Mus musculus: one gene and its partner. The protein of the gene in region 1 purifies or fractionates together with the protein of each later gene. This does not show direct contact. Links are inferred from orthologs where the notes say so. Each region holds a gene or a part of one and is shown in the gene's direction. Other genes may lie near its edges.

Evidence for each region.
Region 2: the proteins of Med26 (region 1) and Polr2j purify together in Homo sapiens (affinity purification with mass spectrometry; 5 studies listed by BioGRID and IntAct, with this or other methods). This does not show direct contact. The link is inferred for Mus musculus from reciprocal best matches to the Homo sapiens genes MED26 and POLR2J.

What each region holds. Positions count from the first base shown.
Region 1 is NC_000074.6:72,545,288-72,549,868, reverse strand, and holds the start of Med26 (mediator of RNA polymerase II transcription subunit 26), read left to right. Parts: upstream 1-1,558; 5' UTR 1,559-1,902; coding exon 1,903-1,974; intron 1,975-3,654; exon of another isoform or gene 3,655-3,793; intron 3,794-4,581. UniProt on the Homo sapiens protein: Component of the Mediator complex, a coactivator involved in the regulated transcription of nearly all RNA polymerase II-dependent genes.
Region 2 is NC_000071.6:136,115,341-136,119,595, forward strand, and holds the start of Polr2j (DNA-directed RNA polymerase II subunit RPB11), read left to right. Parts: upstream 1-1,350; 5' UTR 1,351-1,412; coding exon 1,413-1,465; intron 1,466-4,255. UniProt on the Homo sapiens protein: Core component of RNA polymerase II (Pol II), a DNA-dependent RNA polymerase which synthesizes mRNA precursors and many functional non-coding RNAs using the four ribonucleoside triphosphates as substrates.

The sequences.
Region 1 (4,581 bases):
TAAATGTAATGCACCAGGAGACACTGGAAGGAATAAAATGTTTGAGACCAGCTCAGGCTTCATAAACTCTGCCAAAAAACACCAAACTAAGAGCCAATGTTGATGGAGGACCTTGTTTATTTTGCTTATCTGGTGAGATTAAGTGTATCTTCAAAATGGGCTGCTTTCCAACTTGGAACCTGAGCTCCAAACACATGCCAGGAAGAGAGTGTATTTGAGAAGTATTTGTTCGTGTTCATTCTATTGGTGTAATGCAAAGCCTTCTGTCATGTGCAGAATCAAGAAACCAGCCATGATAAATTTATTTTCTGGGTGGGTGGGAGAAAAGGGCAGGGTCTTACTTACGTAGTCCTTGCTAATCTGGAACTCACTGTGCAGACCAAGCTGGCCTGGAACTCCAGTGAGCCTCCTGCCTCCCAAGCGTTGGAATTAAATGCCTGGTTCCTCACCTCCCCCAGTACCCCCCCCCCGAAGTATGACAAATTTAAAATTAACAGGTGTTGAGCAGCTCTCAGAAGTACATGTGGTTTTCATTACCTGTTTCCCTTCCGTTTCATGTCTGGATTTTTAAGGTTACAACACTACACGAAGTTATTTCTCCCGAGGCCACTTTCGTATAGTGCACTAAACTCGGAGCCCGCCCTCCATCTGTCCAGTTGTAGGGGTCACCGAAGGACGGAGGACCGCAGCCTTTATACTTGACTTCCTTCGTTTCTTGGTTTGACTTAAAACTCCAGGTGACCTTGGTGCTTCCCTTCCTCCCCCGTGAGGCGTTCCTGTTTTCCATCACCTGAGATGCAAAGGCGGGGTCGCTCCGTCCCCTCGGAACGCCAAGGGGAAGATGCTGGGCGACGGTTCCGCATCCTGCTGTTCAGACACAGGCTGGCCACCTCCAGCCCCCCCCGCCCCCCCCCCGCCTCTAGGAAGGCGACAAAAGCGGTGCTTCCTCTTGAGTTCCAGCCCCGCACGGATGCAGACCCGAGGTGTCAGCGTCGCGCAGGCCTTGCAGACTTGCGTCCTCTGCAGAGGTGGCAGCTCCCAGACGTGACCTTAGGTCCCCGCAGCACGCGGGTCACATGGGGACACGCACTGCCCTGCAGACCCGCGCCTGGGGCCTCTGCAGCGGAGAAGGCTGTGCGGAGCTCCTCCGAGCTCCTCGAGGCACGAGTCTAAACGCAGGGAACCGCTGCCTTCCTCAGATTACCTATGGCCGCTCCAATCCTCTGGTTTCTAAACGCAGGAGGCCCTCATCCGGGGGAGGGTCTTTCCATTCCGCAACCCCAAAGCAGTCAGAAGATAGAGTCGGTGTTCCAGGACTTGAAGGGTGCGCTTCCGTTAGGAAGCCCATCCCTCCAGTCCCGAGTGGGCGTGGCCTTCAGATAGCGTCCGTTGCCACGCCCAACTGCCTCCCAACGGCCCTCTGTGTCGGACCTCGGAACCAGGCGGCAGGACCTGCTAATTGCGCCTGCGCGCGCGTGCGCACAATCAATAGGAGGGGCTCACGAGCCGGACCCTCCCAAACCCGGCGTCTCCACCCGCCCCATCTCCCAACCTCCTCAGCGTGGCGCCGACGCTGCGTGCGGCGCGGGTTACCCAGAGTGCTCAGCGCGGGGGGCAGCTCACTGGAGTTTGGTTCTCGAGGCGGCGGCGGCGGTGGTGGCGGAGGCTCCTCCGTCGGCTCCTCCTCCTCGCTCGGCGGTGGCGGCGGTGGTCCGGGGCCTGAGCTCCGGTCCCCTCCGCTTCCCTCCGTCCTCGCCATCTCCCCGAGCGCCTTGACCTCCTCCGGCGCCGCGGGGAACATGCGGCTCCGTTCCCGGAGGCCGGCGAGTGACTGACCCGCGTTCCCCCTCCTCAGCCTGCCCGCCCGCCGGCCCGGCCGCTCCCCCCCGCTTCGCCCAGGCAATGACAGCGGCTCCGGCGTCTCCGCAGCAGATGAGGGACCGGCTGCTACAGGCCATCGACTCCCAGAGCAACGTAAGTGACTGCCTCGCGATCGGGGACCGAGGCCGCATGTGTCGAGACCCTCCCCCTCCGACGCGCCCCCGGCTAGGGGCTCTCTCCAGGCGGTGATCTGCCCGCCACAGCCACTGCCATCTCGGTCTCTCTTTCTCCTGGGTCCGGGGACCGCAGGCAAGGCGGATTGCCCGGCAGCTGAGGGTACCTGAGGCCGAGGCTTCACGCGGCCTGGACTGAGGGAGCGTTTGGAGCTTTGATCAGAGCTAGTTCTTCTCCGTTGTCCCAGCCCGACCGCCCTTGGTGGTCCCCACCGTGCCTCCTTGCCTCACCTCAACCCTGGGAACTGAGAACCCCCCGGGAAGGTCTCCCTGCCGGGGGCAAGGTGGGAAGCAACTAGTGTCTCCGCGATGACTAGAGTAGCCCGCGTCTCCGGAGTCTTGGCCTTTACTCCCCTTCGGTCTCCTGGCTGAACCTCCTTCTTGGCTAGGAGGGAACCCTAGGCCCGTTCTGCCCCCAGTCTGTCTACCTGTGATGCCTGGAGAGTCTCCTCTTTTTTCTGATAGTGGACAAACCTTTCCTGGGGTCTTTCTAGAAAAGACGACCCTGCAGAGAGTGGGATCCTTCCTGTCATCTTTCTTGGCCTAAATGCTCCATTGCGCATCTGACCAGAAGCTAAAGCATGGGATTTTGGTACTGAGTTACTGCCCGTCATAGTTGATTGTTCTCTTATTCCTACCTTCCGGTCCTCTTTCCATCTCTCTCTTGCCCCTCCTGAGGTGCTTTGGGCCCTAGCCTGTCAAGATTTAATTGTAAGGGGTTACTTTATGTCACACTTTCCTCTGCTAAGAGTCCTGTGAGCAGAGGGACATCTTTTTCTTCCTGTGTGAGCATAGACTAATTTCACCTGTTCTTGTATTTTTCCCAAAGGTTTGTTGGCAGTGTAGGGGGCGGGTATCCTTGTTGCTGTTAGGAGCAGGGCCATGGGAAGATGCACAGGCATTCAGATATGAGGTGTTTGCTGGGAGACCAGGAAGTGGCCTTTGAGATCACTTTTTAATATGCTCGGGATGGAAGAAAAATCATCTTGGGCTTGGACAGGTAACCGAGGTTTGAGTCTTTTGAGTTCCCTTGACTATGCTTGACCAGTTACTCTTAGCAATGTACAATGTACACTGTATTGTGGTGTGTTCAGAATAATTCACATTGTTTGTGTGGTCTTGGTAGAAATAGAGGTGCTCTAGTTTCTATGAGATCTGCTTGCTGGATCCAAAATTATTTTCTTCTTGGTCTTTAAGATCACCTTGATAGTAATTTAGTAAATACTGTAGACATTTTCTCGAGGTAGAATAGGGACAGGCTAGATAAAAATCTTCTAGAAAGCCTTTTTAAATTTTTTTCTTTTTTCTTTTTTTGGTTTAAGGTTTTGTTGGGTTTTTTGTTGTTGTTTTGTTTGCCAGTGATTGGTATTACTGACTGTAATCACATGATTGATATATTAGGATATTAAAAGGTAAAAACAAGAGATAGGAAAACATAGCCTTGATGGCTTTTGCATCTTTGCTGAAGCCATAGTGTACACAGTATAATTTTTTGATGTTGTTTTTCAAGAAGGATTCCTCTTCTATGTAGCTTTGACTATCCTTGAACTTGCTCTTTAGACTAGGTTGGCCTCAGAGATTCTCCTGCCTCTTCTTCCAGATTAAACGATTGCACCACCACTGCTCATCTCTTCCACAGTGGAAATTTTAACTCCTGTGTAACTCCTTTGCTTGAGATCTTATCAGAGATCCTGACTGCTTGTATGTGAGAGTGTTGGGACCAGCAAGCGCTTTGACAGGTAATCATGATGCTATAGATCAGGTGGGTCCAAGTGTTAGGTAAGGTCTGACTAGAAGACCCTTTGTGGGTAAAAGAAGGAAGGTAGACAGCCCAAATTTTAGGTTTTTGTTTTGTTTTTTTCTGAGACAGTCACTGGAAGTCACTATGTATGTAAACCAGTGTAGTCTCACAGAGAATCTGTCTGCTTCTACCTCCCAAATGCTGGAATTAAAGGTATATGCCACCATGCCTGGCCCAAACATTAGTTTCTTGAATTTTCCCTTGGTCATAAGTATTACTATGCTCTTTGGCCTGTGGGTAAGTTGCTTGGAGTGTATATCTCAAAGGGAGACCTTATTGTGGTGGATGGAGTTGAGAACTTGTCTCTGAGTGAGGAGGGAAGTGTTTCCCAAAATGCACTGTCAGTGACCACCCACAAAAACAACTAGGTATATGTGCCAGGGGCTGGCTTTGCAGAATCTCTTTGTAGAATCAGCCTGGAGCACTGTCCTCCATTTCTTGCTGTGGTATTGAAGGGTCCCTGGACATTTGCACTGTTTCCGTGATTGCTCAGGGCCCAGGTAAGAGCTGCATGTTTGTGCAGGGATCTGTGCTTTGCTCTGCCCAGTTATAAGCTCCACCACTTGCTAATTGACACATATTTAGGATGTTCATGGAAAAAATACAAAACGAGGACAGAGTTGAAGAGTGAACACTAAAATTAACCCTCTTCAGAGAGAAGTGACAGAGAATGGTGTCATGTAATGCTTACCTTTATGAGTGTGCAATTATGGCTAACAAATTTAG
Region 2 (4,255 bases), on another chromosome or scaffold:
AGCAAGTTTCAGGACTGCCAGGGTTGCACAGAGAAACACTTGTCTTGAAAAACAAACAAAACCAAGACAACAACAACCAGAAGCAGCCAGGCGTGGTGGTCCATGCCTTTAATCCCAGCACTCGGGAGGCAGAGGCAGTCGGATTTCTGAGTTTGAGGCCAGCCTGGTCTACAAAGTGAGCTCCAGGACAGCCAGGGCTACACAGAGAAACCCTGTCTCGAACCCCCCCCCCAAAAAAAAAAAACAAAAAAACAACCAACCAGAAGCATCTTAAGGAAGGGTATACAATGCAGATGTCATAGCAACAGGATTCCCAGGCAGCCAAGCACACTGCATCTGCGCCAGGAAGCTGTAGTCTGACTCCTGAGCCTCTAGGATGATGCCATACACGTCTGTCTTCCTCAGTCAAATCTGTCTAGAATCCCAAAGACAACCAAACGTTCTTTATTATGGTTATGATTATTATTCTCTATTGTGAGTGCACACATGTGTAAATGCATACCGTGAAGGGAGGTCGGAGAAGTCTGTTCTCTACCACCACGTGGGTTCTGGGGACTGAATTTAGGTAATCAGATTTGGTCACACTCCCCCTTGCCCACTGGGCTGTCTTGCTGGCCCCTCCTAGGGGTTTGTTTCTAGGATGATTCTAAATTTCATCCGGTTGACAAGATGAGCCATCAGGGAGGCTGGAGAAATGGCTCAGCAGTTAAGGGTCTTACTGCTCCTGCAGGGGACTGGAGTTCGGTTCCCAGCACCCACTGGGGCAGGGGGGGCTCACAACCACCTGTAACTCCAGCTCCAGGTGACCCAACCCTCTTCTGGTCTCCAAAGGCACCTGCATATACGTGCCCATACAAGATATGCAAATAAAAATCTTTAAAAATAGGAAAAATAAAAGATTGCTACAGAGACCGCTGAAAAATGGCGAGGTGCAAAGCTTTCATCGTGTTTTTAGTTACCTGTGTGCTCAAGAGAAGATGCGCTGGTACCCCAAGCTCCTCCCCAACCTTTACATCCCTTCTTGCTCCACTGGTCCTCATCTAGAAGGCCTCATAAGTCCGCCAGTGTCGGCCCACCCGGGGGTCCTGCAGCAGCAGCCCACTTAGACTCTTAGTCCCATTCAGTCGGTACCGGGGAGCCAGCTACAGGTGGCTCAACTCCGGGCGCGGGAGCACGCGCCAAAACACTCAGCATGGACGCCTCGAACAAGGGTTCTAAACTGACGCATGCGCACGGCTCGCCCTCAGCCTTGCCTGCGCCTGCATTAGGTCATCCGAGCCGCTAGGGGGCGGGGGCCAGGTGCTTACACTGATTGGCTGCGGCTGAGAAATCCGGAAGTGGTCGCGCTTCGGGGCTCTGTTGGCGGAAGGAGACTGTGGGTTGGTGTCGGGGAGCGAGAGCGCGGCGCTAGGATGAACGCTCCTCCGGCCTTCGAGTCGTTCTTGCTCTTCGAGGGCGAGAAGAAGTAAGTGGAGGCCGGCGGAGGCGGGGACGGTTGCATAGGAGCCTGCCGGCCGTCAGCTCCGCTGGAGCGCCGCACTGCTCCTGTCTGGGGAAACCGAGGCGGGAGGCGGGCTTTGCTTTGAGTCTTCCGTGCTGCTCAATGCGAGTCTGCCCAGCTTCAGGCAGCGGCGCGAAGCACTGGCGCGTGCATGCATTTTGCAGTGGGAAATCGGAGGCTCTGGGACATGGAGTGTCTTGCTCCAGACACTTGGTTCATGATGACAGCTGTGAAGGGACAGAGACACAGCTCTCTTACACTCCTCAGCAACCTGAGGGTTTCTCCTAGATTTTCAGGGATCCCGACTTAGGCCAAACCCGGGTTCGTGGCTCCACGCTAAAAAGAATTTCAGGACTCTTCGGTTTAGTGAAGCAGGATTGGTGGGTTTTTAATTAAAGATACTTTAATATGGGCTTAAGCAGGAGGGTTCAGAGGAAGAGAGCGCTAAGAAAGTAAGACAGACGCAAGTTGGGTCTGTGTGCATTCAGAGAGCAGGGGGAAGTACTTTGCACTCGAGTGGCTACAGGTTTAGAGATTAAGCATCTAATTGTCTTTTGGAGGTAGGGTTTCTCTGTGTATCCTCCTTGACTGTCTTGGAACGAGCTTTGCAGACCAGACTAGCCTCAAACTCAGCGATCCACCTGCTTCTACCTGGGATTAACGGCCTGAGCCACCGGCTCTGGCTTTATGTAATTGTCTTAATGGTAGCCAAATACACTCTTTTGATGACTCAAAGTTTGCTACGAACCCTTCTCTCTTGTGTAACCCTTCTCTCGTGTGTGTGCCCCTTCTTGGAAGTCAGCTTAGTCTCTATCTCAGTGGGAAAAAGGTATGGAGGTGTGCTAGGAATCGTTTGTGAACCCCAAAAGATCATTAAGGAGCCGTTTCCATTAGGGTCTCTTTATCACAAGCTCGGGCTTGGGCTCTCCTCCAACCCAACCCTGACACAACAGGACAGGAAGAGAAGGCAGAGCAGCCTTGAACCCAGGACAAGGTTTTCTAGGGAGTGGGAGTGACGGGGTATGGAGCTTGGCAGGTATCTAACTGAATGTCTGTTGTAAGCTGACAGGTGGTGCTGTGAAGGGAGATGAACAATCACAAACTATCTGAAAGTAGATCTGAAGCAACCAGACTAATCTTTGATTAACTGTTGCTAGGGAGTAACTCTGGGGTATGGGCCAAGGGACAAGCCGTGAGGTCCTTCCTGGTACTTGGTTGCATCTTGGGTTCTGCTGTAGGTCAAGTTCTCAGGCTTTTTTTGCGGGGGGGGGGGGGGGTTCAAGACAGGGTTTCTCTGTATAGCCCTGGCTGTCCTGGAACTCACTTTGTAGACCAGGCTGGCCTCAAACCCAGAAATCCGCCTGCCAATGCCTCCAGAGTGCTGGGATTAAAGGCATGCACCACCACGCCCGGCTTTTTTTTTTTTCTTTAAGATGGAGGTAGCAGGTCCCAAGATGGAGTAGATTTGGCCTCTCAGAGGTATACCCCAGTGGTAGATTGCTTACCTAGCATGCACGGGGCTCATTTCATCCCTGTATCAATCAGTCAATAAATAATGAAGTTCTTCAAGATCCTCCGAGTTTGCCAGTACAGTGTACACTGCAGACCTGTAGCCGACACTGCTCATTCCTAAGAGGCAGGGTTTTGTGATTGACATTTGATAGCTACTTCAGCCTTCCTTGGGGGCATATTCTCAACTGAGAGCCCGGTTGTTGTCCCATGAGCAAGAGCATTTGGCCATCTGGAAAAGGTTCTGGTTGTCCCAGGCACGTTGGTATTGGCAGCGGGTGGATAGCAGCAAGGGATGCTGATAACAACCCTTGGTGCAGTAGACAGGCTCCCAGAAAAGGACAATCAGGTCCAAAACATCCATGTTCTGGGCTGGCAACATGGCTTGAGCGCAGGCACCCGCAGGCAAGCCTGATGACTTGAGTTCAGTCCCTGGGACCACTATGGTACCAGGAGAGACCTGACAATTACAGGTTGTCCTCTTATCTCAGACAGGCGTGGACAAAGTAAGAAAATATTTGTGTACCGAGTTTGAAAAAAGGAGCAATCCTTAACTGAGCGGTGGATTTTAATCCACCTTTAATCCCAGCACTTGGGAGGCAGAGGCAGGGGGATCAAGGCCAGCCTGGTCTACAGATCAAGTACGAAGAAATGTAGTCTCAAAAAAAACAAACAAAAACAAGGACTGCTAAGTCCATGCTCCCTGGTATATAAATAGGAGGCCATCACAGGGGAGAGGCGGTTCCTTGTTAGCATTTATTGATTGATTGATTGTCATGCTGAGGACTTGTGTGTAGATCTGAGTTCTGCTTCCAGTGTTTCTCCAGGGGCATGGGAAGTGGAGACAAGCACAGTGTGTCCATTGGCAAATGAGATTCTACCTTAAGCAAAGAGAAAGGCCAGGGTGATGGCTGAGGTGTTTCTCTATCCTCCTGCCTCAGCCTCCCAAATTGCTGGGATTACTGGTCTGAACTACCAGGCAGGCCTACCTTGTTTATTGTTTGGACGGTGGGAGTGGTGGAGATGAGACCCAGAGACTTACACATGGGAGGTTAATGGTTGGCCACTGAACCATGCCAGAGCTCTGAGTCCTTTACTGGTGAGTAGACTGAAAAAGGCCTCCCAGGGCTAGACCTGTAGCTCAGTGGTTGAGGGCTTTGCTTAGCACGCTCAAAACCCAAGGTGCAACTCCAGTAGCCATTGGGGATAGATAGTAGGGCTTGCAGAATGATAGACCTGGGCCTA